Oryctolagus cuniculus: one gene and its partner. The protein of the gene in region 2 purifies or fractionates together with the protein of the main gene of each other region. This does not show direct contact. Links are inferred from orthologs where the notes say so. Each region holds a gene or a part of one and is shown on either strand. Other genes may lie near its edges.

The links. Proteins that work in one complex are often made in the same cells at the same time.
Region 1: the proteins of STAT1 (region 2) and PIAS1 purify together in Homo sapiens (affinity purification with western blotting; 5 studies listed by BioGRID). This does not show direct contact. The link is inferred for Oryctolagus cuniculus from reciprocal best matches to the Homo sapiens genes STAT1 and PIAS1.

Annotation. Positions count from the first base shown.
Region 1 is NC_091443.1:90,958,251-90,963,744, forward strand, and holds part of PIAS1 (E3 SUMO-protein ligase PIAS1), read left to right. Parts: intron 1-616; coding exon 617-654; intron 655-3,953; coding exon 3,954-4,247; 3' UTR 4,248-5,494. UniProt on the Homo sapiens protein: Functions as an E3-type small ubiquitin-like modifier (SUMO) ligase, stabilizing the interaction between UBE2I and the substrate, and as a SUMO-tethering factor. Catalyzes sumoylation of various proteins, such as CEBPB, MRE11, MTA1, PTK2 and PML.
Region 2 is NC_091434.1:49,296,641-49,302,134, forward strand, and holds part of STAT1 (signal transducer and activator of transcription 1-alpha/beta), read left to right. Parts: intron 1-3,642; 5' UTR 3,643-3,643; coding exon 3,644-3,771; intron 3,772-5,340; coding exon 5,341-5,485; intron 5,486-5,494. UniProt on the Homo sapiens protein: Signal transducer and transcription activator that mediates cellular responses to interferons (IFNs), cytokine KITLG/SCF and other cytokines and other growth factors.

The sequences.
Region 1 (5,494 bases), on a different chromosome or scaffold from region 2:
GGGCCCCGTGGTCTCCATGTGCTGGTGGTACGCTTTGCCCTGGGTTTAGCTGTCCTCCCGAGGCATCTCAGTCGCCTTGTTTACTTTGCTCCTGACCACATCACAGTCGAGAATGGGTGCAGGGAGGCCCACCCCCCCCCCCACCCCCCACCCCGGGCTCTGGCCGCTGCAGAGATTCCAAGTTACAGTCTGGTACAGATGGTGGCAGTGAGCAACTCTGAGGAAGAAAAGGAAAATTTGGGCTGTGGCTTGCTTATTACTCTTGGAACTTCAAACTTTCTCCTCTGCAAAATGAGGCCAGAAATGATCAGATGCCTCACGAGGTGCCTGTGAGGGGGAATGAGAGGAATGGAGGAGAGCGGGCCGGTGCGCGGCCAGCAGCCGGTCCCCAGCTGCTCAGACAGAGGTGCGGGGAGGCGGCGTCTCTGCTTGCGCCGCGCCCTCAGCATTCAGAGGAGGGAGAGGCGCAGGACACTCAGCTTGAAGTCAGATTCCAAAAGGCAGAGGAGTTAGGATTTATGTTTGTTTTCCAAGTACTGGGCATTTGGAAAGGGGTTTTACTATGTTTTTTTGTTTTTGTTTTTTCCAAAACTAAAATAATTTTTCTCTCCCATAGGATTAGATTTCTTCCCTTTCTTATCAGGAGACAATCAGGTATGTTACATGAAAAAAGTTACCATTATTTTACTTGTACATTCAAAATATTTAAAAGTCTAATATGTTATCCAGGAGGCAGAATACATTTCTCTGGAAAATTCAGAGTGACCCATGCCTGTTATAGTTAGGTCTGGGAGTGTGGATGAGAGCCCTGGCCTCAGTAGAGCCTGCATCCGTCTGTGGGCTCGCAGTACTGTCTGGAAGAGCAGCTGCAGGCAGCTGGATGGAGAGACGATTCCTGGAGACGCAGTCACACGCCACACGGCGTAGACCATCCCCGTGCTGAGGGCTCACAAGAGGATGACTTGCTGTAGCCCAGTGACATCACAGTTGGGTCACGTCAGCACACTGCCTTCCTGTGCGTGCGTGGGTGTGGGGATAAGCAGACCTAGCGTTGCCAGTCACGGGCGAGCACAGCATGTACAGTTATGCTCACTGCATAACACTTGATAGTGATCAAAAGCATCTCACTGGCTTATGTCTATTACACCACACCACATTGGTAACTTTTGACCGGCTCCTGCTAACCCTACCGATGAACAGGAGAGTTTCAGAAGTATGCCACACTTCATTGGCAGCAGCCCTCTCTCTCATGTCTACTGATTGTGCCCTTCTAGAGCGTGCTTGATTTAATCTGATTTCTTTGGTTCGCTGAGGTCCCTAAATGTAGAAAACCCCTCGCTGACACTGCCCAGTAAGAAGCCACACTGATTGACCCAGAAACAAAATATAAGGTGATTAACGAAAGTTGAAAATCAGTGATGGGGGCTGGCTCTGTGGTGTAGCTGGTAAAGCCGCCACATGTGTTACCAGCATCCCATATGGGCATCAGTTCGAGTCCTGGCTGCTCCACTTCCTATCCAGCTCCCTGCTAATGGGCCTGGGAAAGCAGGGGAAGCTGGCCCAAGTGCTTAGGCTCCTGCCACCCACGTGGGAGACCCAGATAAAGCTCCTGGCTCCTGGCTTCTACCTAGCCCAGCCCCAGCTGTTGCGGCCATCTCGGGAAGTGAACCAGAGGCTGGAAGATCTCTTTGTCTCTCCCTCTCGCTCTCTGTGACGCTGCCTTTCAAATAAATTAATCTAAAAAAAAAGAAAAAAGAAAATGGATGACGGTGTCGCTCAGCAGTCAGGCCTGTCCCATGGCGAGGTAGCTCCTGTCTTGATGGACAGACGTGGAGGAAAGGAAGCTGTTGGAGGAGCCGCTTTACTGAAGGCAGCAGGACCAGTGAGACGGCCAGAGGGGCCCACACCAAGGGTGGAGAAACTTGTGCTGACCTGGGTTGGTGACAGGCTCATCCCTCTTGGCACCATGGTGATCGTAGCCAAAGCTCTGATCAGAACGGAAGTTTGCAAGGTTGAAAGAGGCCAGGCTCAGCTTCGATGTTGAGCTCACTGCCAGCTGTGGGTGACGTGAACACCCGAGAGGCCTCATTCATCACGCATCGTGAAGGTGAGCGGTGGATCCGCACGTGCTGATGCGACGGCAGCCGAAGAAAGAGCTGTTGGAAATGGAATCGGCTGACTGCGGAGGGGCCTTCCTTGCCGGAGCTGATCCTCACTGTGGAGGATGCCTCCCTGTCCTGGAAACGGATGCCCGCAAGGACTTCGTCCATGAGGAGGCCAGGCCAGTGCCAGGTTTCGCGGCTAGGGTAACAGTCTGGCTTGCGGGCCGTGAAGCCGAGCGTGATGTGGCACGGTGCGAGTGCCAGGGCTTTCGAGCCTGTCAGCAAGCACACACTGCACGCACTGCAGGAGCAGCAGCAAGTCACGGATGGCCCCGCCCCTCCTCCGAGATGCCCTCCTGAATTGCTTTGCCAGAGCACTGGAGAAGTACGGGGTGGAGGGCAACACGCCTTCAGGGTTTTGGTGACTGTTGTAAGGCTCCCAGCGCCTTTTCTGTGGTGCCGTTTGTCCCGGGATGAAAGGACAGTTTCTTCCTCCAGACTCAGATCCAGCCAGTGGGTGAAGATTCATAAGGCCCTCCCTCTATGCAAGGGAGATCTTTGCCCAGGCTACCACAGCTGCGTAGACACAGGTGCAGCCCTGGAAGGACTCCCCGGACCTTGCGTGGGCCTGCTGTGGCGTCACCCAGGAGTACATGGTTGGCATCTGCAAGAGAGTCATCCGTGACTTCAGAAGATGTGCCAAGGACGCAGAGGTGGCAGCAGCCATCCAGGCTGGGGCTGAGCCGGGCGGGTGAGGATGACCCAAGGGGCTGCCGGAGCTGCTTCCTGAGGAGTCCAGGAGGGAGGAGGTGCAGAGGGGCCAGAGGAAAGGGCAGTGCGAGAGGAGAGGGCGCTGCCCAGAGGTCTGCAGTGACGTTGAGCAGAAGGCCTGCACAGCCTGACACGCTCCCTAAGAAGCGTGGAACATGGGCCCCAAGCGGGACATGCTCCATAACTAAACAAGGATCCTCACGGGCGCCGCTGCTTGTGAGCAAGCCTGTGGTGACCGACAGCCCGACAGCAGACCGCCTGGACAGACGGCCTGGACAGAGAGCGGCCCTCGGGCGGGGCTCCGTCAGCAGGCCAGACGGCGGAGACAGCGGCGCGAGTGTGCTGTGGCCCGCTGGCCTGCCGGCGGGACAGGAGGCAGGGGCGGAAGACAGCGACAGGCGAGATCCTCACCCAGTGTAGCCTGCGCTCATGTGTTTTTCATTTTTAATAAAAATATTTTCTGAAAATTTAGTCCAAAAATGCTTATAGAATAAAGATATGAGGAAAAAACTTTATATAGCTGTATAGTATGTATTTTAAGCTAAGTGTTACTAAATAGTCAAAAAGTTTTAAGACTTAAAGTGTTTATAAAGTAGACAAGTCACAGGAGGAGAAGCCGTGTTAGGGGAGCCACAGGCCATGCTGTGTGGTGCAGGTGGGTGGCAGGTGCGGCCGCCCAGCTCTGGGTGAGCGTGCTGCAGGGTCCAGGTAACGAAGGCATTGCCTGCTGCCGCGGTGCCCGGACGTGGCCCCATCATTGAGTGCCGTGTGACTGGAACTCCTTAGGAGAAAGCGGGTGGACTGTGCTGCTGCTTCTGGCCATATTCTTCTTTGGCAAGTAGAATTTTGAGAATTGCTTGCCTTACAAATTAAAACAAAAAATTACTATTTTCCAGTTCCGGATGGAAAGATGTGTCTCAGAGATAGTTAGTCATTACATAAGGCCATTGGGTTTTGCACACGTTTAGGAAACCACCGATCCTCAGGACGCAGTAGCAGTAGGAGTGCACTCTGCAGAAAAGGGGTTGGCTGGTTGTGTCGTTAGCATTAACGTGTCTCGGCCCTTGCCCCCCCCCCCAGCATTACAACACCTCGCTGCTGGCCGCCGCCGCCGCCGCCGTCTCGGACGATCAGGACCTCCTGCACTCCTCGCGGTTTTTCCCGTATACCTCCTCGCAGATGTTTCTCGATCAGCTGAGTGCAGGAGGCAGCACCTCATTGCCGACCACCAACGGGAGCAGCAGTGGCAGTAACAGCAGCCTCGTGTCCTCCAACAGCCTGCGGGAGAGCCACAGCCACCCGGTGGCCAGCAGGAGCGGCACGGACACGGCGTCCATCTTCGGCATCATCCCAGACATAATCTCCTTGGACTGAGCCCCCGGCCCAGAGTCAATGAACTCGGCAGAAAGAAGAGAACTTTGTGCTGTTTTACCTTATTCTGTTTAGAAAAGTACACAAGCGTGTTTTTTTCCTTTTTTTAGGGAAAAAATTAAAAGAAATGTACAGAGAACAAAACTATATTTTCAGTTTTACTTTTGTATATAAATCTAAGACTGCCTGTCTGATAAAACACTTATAAAAAAAAAAGAGAAAAGAAAAAAGAAAAATCAAGCACCCACAAACCACCTTCAGTTCATTTTTTCCTGGATTCTGAAGATTTTTCATCAGTTGTCCTCTGGTTTTGGTTTTATTTTACTTCAATGGCATTATTTTATTTGCAATAACAGAAAAGGAATTGCATGTATGAAGTTTTAAATTGTGGGCTTTGTTGTGGGGAGGGGTTGGGGGGATGGTTTGATTTCCATTTTCTAAATATGACAGACTTGGATTCTGTCTGCGTGTGTGTGTGTGCATATTTTATCCAGCCTTAAGTTATAAGTTTCATCTGTCCCACTGCATTCCTGTATTTCCAGGACATGGCTCGTGCGTGCGTGTGTCTGTGTGGATATTTTTCTGTCGTTGCTGTTCCCTCTCCTCCCGAGTTTGCGTTCAGTTCACACATCCGTTGCCTGCTTCTTTCAAACTGCTTTGAGGGTCTTGAACTCACACGGGAGCCCTTTTCGCAACCAGCCCAGTTGCGTGTTCTCTCCGCCAGGTGTTCTCCCCTGAGGATTTGCCTTAGGCTAATGGAGGAGAGCCCCCCCGGGTGGGGAGTGGGCTTGGCAGACCTGGGGTAATGCGCATCCGTCTAGTTCTTGATTCTCAGCCCGGATTGCCAGCATTGCGTGTCTACACCCAGCCTGTGACTACCTGCGTGTTTGGCCACAGGGTAGCAAGTTTTCATGGAAGATCACTCATGCCAAAGGACGATGGAAAAGTGCTTAGGAAGCCCTGCTGGGTGTCCTGTGCAGCCGACAGAGGTAAGGTGACGCCACCTCAGGAGGAGAGACAAGTCCGTTATCCCAAAGGGGCGTTCTCTCTGGAAAACGCAGTGCTGCACGTCCGTCTGTAGGAATGTGAGCAGTTGATGAGCAGTTGAAATTCCACGTGGACTTGATCCACTTCTTTTCCACTCTGGCTCTGAGTGTTCTTATTCCCTTAGCCTGTCTGCCGTGGTCGTTTTCTTCACCTTCTCATGACAACCATGACACGGGAAAGTCACTTTTTAAAACCGCGTGGGT
Region 2 (5,494 bases):
AGTGAACCAGAGGATGGAAAACCTCTCTCTCTCTCTGCCTCTGCCTCTGCCTCTCTCTGTGTAACTCTTTCAAATATATAAATAAATCTTTTTTTTTTAAAGATTGATTTCTATATTTGAAAGGCAGAGTTACAGAGGGAGAGAGACAGAGACATCTTCCATCACTGATTCATTCCCTAATGGTTGAAATGGCCCTGGCCAAAGCTGGAGCCTAGACCTCCATCTGGGTCTCTTGTGTGGGTGGCAGACACCTGGGCCTCCTCTGCTGCTTTCCCAGGTGCATTAGGGAGCTGGATAGGAAGTGGAACAGCCGGGGCTCAAACCAGAATCCTTATGGGATGCCAGTGTCGCAGGCAGCAGCTCAACCCACTGCATCCCAGATCTATCATTTTTGCACAGGAGACAGAAGTGGTCCAAATCCATGTGCAGCCTCTGGCCTCAGAATCAGCCCTTAAGGCATGCGGATCCGGCTGAAAAGCCCATGAGAGTATTTCAGGCATGGAAAGCCAAGACACTCTGGCAAAAAAAACAAAAACAAACAAACAAAAAACACAAAACCTAAATGAAAGATCTCTGTGAGTCAGATCCCAGTGGAAAGTACAGGTCTTCAAAGAAGGAGGTACCTTTCTCTGAAGGGAGGAGAGAACCTCCACTTTGACTATGACCTTGTCTAAACAAGATAAGAGTCGGAGAACTCAGAGGGCTTCCATAGCCTTGGAAACTCATGACTGGAGCATAGGGAGATTACTGATGCCATAAATGGGAGTGTCAATTTGTAAAGTCAACAACAGGCATCACTGTGCACTTACTCCTCATGTAGGATCTCTGTCCTTAATGTACTGTACATTGAGATTTAATGCTATAACGAGTACTCAAACAATATATTTCACTTTGTGTTTCTATGGGGGTGCAAACTGTTGAAATCTTTACTTAATGTGTACTAAACTGATCTTCTGTAAAAAAAAAAAGAAATTATCAATTCCCAACTTGACTGTCACTGGGATTAAACATGACAATAGGTCTGCTCTGATTTCATCATCATTTAAAAAATCATCTATTATTTTTCACTTTATGTTTCTGTGTGGGAGCAAACTGTTGAAATCTTTACTTAATGTATGCTAAACTGATCTTCTGTATATAAAGAGAATCAAAAATGAAGCTTGATGTGAATTGTAGGGGAGAGGGAGTGGGAAAGGGGAGGGTTGCGGGTGGGAGGGACGTTATGGGGGGGAAGCCATTGTAATCCATAAGCTGTACTTTGGAAATTTATATTCATTAAATAAAAGTTAAAAAAAAAAATCCATGTGCAGCACAGGCTGGATTGGGAACATGGTGGCAGCAGATCTTGGGACTAGAGAGGAAAGTGTCAGCCCCAAATTTGGGGTTGGGCCAGGAAATTGGAGGATGGTTATGCCACTCTGCTTTGGTAACAGGTTTTGAGGGAGATAAGATCGAGCCTGGGTTTGTTCATGTGAATTTATTGCTTCCCCTGCTCTGTGCCAGGTGTGGTGGGTGTACAAGCTCACCCAGCCTCTAGAACCAGCGTGTTGATAGGGAATAAGCTGCCAGGGTTCACTTGGCTAGTAAGAGGTTGCAGCCTCTACCGGGGGCCAGGCCCACATATTTGCTTTAGGGATATCCTTGGTAGACACCTAGCAGGCAGGGAGAGAGCCTCAGGTGTGGAGACTTCTGCTCAGGTAAAATACATCTGGAGCAAAAAATCAAATTGCCACAGCAGGTGTGCAAATGGGGTGGGCCCGGGTCCCTTTCTGCTGGTATTTGTGAGGTGAGTAGCTCTGTCGTCACTTGTGGGGTAGACAAGGCCTGGCGTTAGCACACTCAGGGACCTGTGTGCATCCACACTGATCCATGCCTTTCTGGAAACTGTGCACTCCTTCCCCCAGGCTCGGGCAGGACAAGGTTCACTGGTGTCCACTCTGAATGTTGCTAGCCAAAGGCTGCTATAAATCCTAAATTATATAATGGTCGTGTGAGGCTGTTCATTGTCCTAATGGATTTTAGGACTTCCTTAATCAGGCTTTTGTTGAAGTTTTTCTTCTTTAAGATTGAAGAGTAAAATTGACTTAACAGTTACCCAGAGAAATAAGTGTGACTTTGTCCCTTCGAATTACATTTGATAATGTTTGAGCCTTCAGAAATTATTAGTGAGGTCTAGGATTTCTTTTGTGCCAGCTTTATCGTTTGCTGTAGGCAGAGAACATATGTACTTCTAAGATGTTATAACGAAGATAATTTTACCATATGTGTTGGTTAGTTTTCTATTGCCATGATAAAACAATCAAGGCTCTGTCACTTATAAAGAAAGGAGGTTTATTTAACTCATGGTTTTGAAGGCTGGTAAGTCGAAACAATGTGGTGCCAGCTCCAGTGATGGCCCCTGGCTTGGCACATTTTGGTGGACGGCATCATGGTGGGAGTGCATGCAGCTGGTGCAATCACATGGCAAGACAAAAAGCCAGAGACACTGAAGAGGGAAAAGCCCTGCTGGGTTTTTTTTTTTTTTTTTAACTTAATTTAATTTTTATATTCTCTTGGGGGAACTAGCCAGAGTCCCATGAGAATTGCATCAGTTCCTTCTCAGGGAAGCACCCCTGACCCAATCGCCTTACACTAGGCCCCACTTCTTTTAAGTTCTATATGGTCCCCCAACATCATCATGCTGAGGACCAAGCTGCCAACACGCAGGAAACCCCAGGGGACACACTGGAACCATGGAGCAGAAAATGAGAGTGAAAAGTTCTTGGAGTAAATCACACATGTACTGTAATTTTGCTGGGGAACGATTTTTGGAGAGCTTTTGCAGTGATCATAAAGCAAAACTAAATAAAGTGTTGCATTTTTTGTTTGCTAAAAAGGCAGATTCATTTAAAATGTTTATTTTACTTACCAGCTATTTATTTATTTATATTTTTTACAATTTGCTTATCTGAAACTCAGACATAGAAAAAGATTCTCTATCCACTGATTCACTCCCCACATGCCTGCAGCCGTCAGTGCTGGGCCTAGCTGAAACCAGGAGCCTGAAACACAGTGCAGGTCTCCCGCACGAGGGGCAGGGTCACCGTCTGCTGCCTTCCAGGGCGCACATTTGTAGGAAGCTGGGGCTCCAATCCAGACGCTCCGGTGTGGGGTGCGGGTGTCCCAAGGACTGTCTTAACTGTTGTACCAAATGCCCGCCCCGGCTCATTTTAAAGTCTTTATGAGTACTTCGTATGTGTGCTCTGGAGATAAAACAGGGGACAAAGTCCTCTTCCCCCTAAAATCTTTTCCTTCATGTGGTCAAATCAGACCATAATCAAAATAATAAAGTACCTGGTGGGTCAGTGTATGCTGTGGAGGGTGGTTTCTTAGGCAGGAGGCGGTTGTGATGTAAATACGGTGGAGAGGGAAAGCTGTGTGTTGACATTTGAGCAAAGATCGGGAGATGTGTTTCCTGGAGAAGGAGAAAATGTTGATCCTCAAACTCAATTAAAAAAACGTGGTTTAGAATATAGGCATTTAAATGATATATTTCAGAGACAGATTGTGTATGGGGTTAAGATGTGTACAAGAGCGTGAAGAAAGAAGGCTTTCTTTAGAGCTGCAGTCTTCCGTCTGTGACACGTTGCTCTCTTCCTGCAGGATGTCTCAGTGGTATGAGCTTCAGCAGCTCGACTCTAAATTCCTGGAGCAGGTTCACCAGCTCTATGATGACAGTTTTCCCATGGAAATTCGACAGTACCTGGCACAGTGGCTAGAAAATCAGGACTGGTAAGGAGAACTCACTAGACAGGAACACGTCTATCTACACTCCAGAAGTACTTGGTGCAAGACGTTCCTAGTCATCAGGGAAATGCAGATCCAAGCCACAGTGGGATACTGCCTCCCTCCGGTTACCATAGCTATGATCAAAAAGACAAAGACAGCAAATGCTCATGGGGATGTGGAGAAAGGGAATCCTTGCACCATTGGTGGGAATGTAAATTAGCATGGCCATTATGGAAAACAGTATGGAGATTCCCCAAAAATCAAAAATAGAACCATAATATGATTCCACTACTAGGAATATATATCTAATTGAAAATGAAGTTAGTCTGCTGAAGAGATACCTGCAGTCTCATGTTTTATTGCAGCATAACTCACAATAGTGGAAACTTCTCAACTGAAGGATGGATAAAGAAAATGTGTCTAAACACGATGGAATACTATTCAGCCGTAGAAAGGAATGAAGTCTGTCATTTACAATAACCCAGATGGAACTAGGGGACAGTGATATTAAATGAAAGAATCCAGACACAAATACCATGATCTTGCTCATATGTGTCATCTAAAACTGATCTCATGGAAGTTGAGAATAGGATGGTGGTTACCAGAGACTGGCCAACAGATACTAAGTGTCAGTTAGGTAGGAGTAATAAATCCTGGTGTTCTGTTGCATAATGGGATGATTATAGGTAATAATGTACTGTGAACTCTAATAACAAAAAACCTAGAAGAAAAGATTTTGAATGTTTTGCCATGGAGAGGTGATAAATGTGTGAGGAGATGGATATACTTGATTGTGAGCATTACACAATGAATGCACACACTGAAATATTACTTGGTACACCATAACTACAACTACATACAATTTTATTTATCACTTAAATATATATATATAAAAATTTTAAAAATGTATTTGTTTATTAAATGAGTTGGAGCTAAATTTACACAAAGATAAATCTCATCAATGACCAGAGATTCCATCTGTCACATAAAAGTTTAAAAACTGGGGTTTGTCTCTACAAAACTAAATACACTATCCATTAAGCATTTTTGTCAAATTTAATTGTGATAGGTACTCCTAACTGCTTTGGGCAATTTAGAAAACTCTGACATCAGTTATTTTCCAACTCAGGATCCAGGCTATGGAAAGTAATTTAAAGAAATGATTAAGGCTGAATTATGGTAAATATTAATTAGAGATACCAAGAAGGCTAGTGAAAAAGGAAATGTGTTTTAAGAGAGGTAGTAGGCATTCTATTTTAAAATGTACTATTTGCTGACTGCGAAAGGTGTAAACATGCTGAAAGTATTTGACATAGACAATGAAGATTCTGGTTTCTTGTTTTGTTTTTCCTTTGGAGCTGTTCACCATGAACAGTTTCCTGCCCAGTCTCTTCAAGTTCTAGAATTTTTCACTTTAATTGCATGTACAGGAAAACCGTTTAAGTTGCTGCTACAAGGAAGAAAGTGCCATCTAAAAAATCATTTTCCGGTCATTGCCATAAAGAAAGCAGTGTTTGTGTTGTCTGCCTTAAGTAGCATCTGGAATGAAACACGGACATTTTCAATCCCCAGGGAGCACGCCGCCAATGATGTTTCGTTTGCCACCATCCTCTTCCATGACCTGCTCTCGCAGCTGGACGATCAGTACAGTCGCTTCTCTCTGGAGAACAATTTTCTGTTGCAGCATAACATAAGGAAAAGCAAGCGGAACCTTCAGGTACGCCCT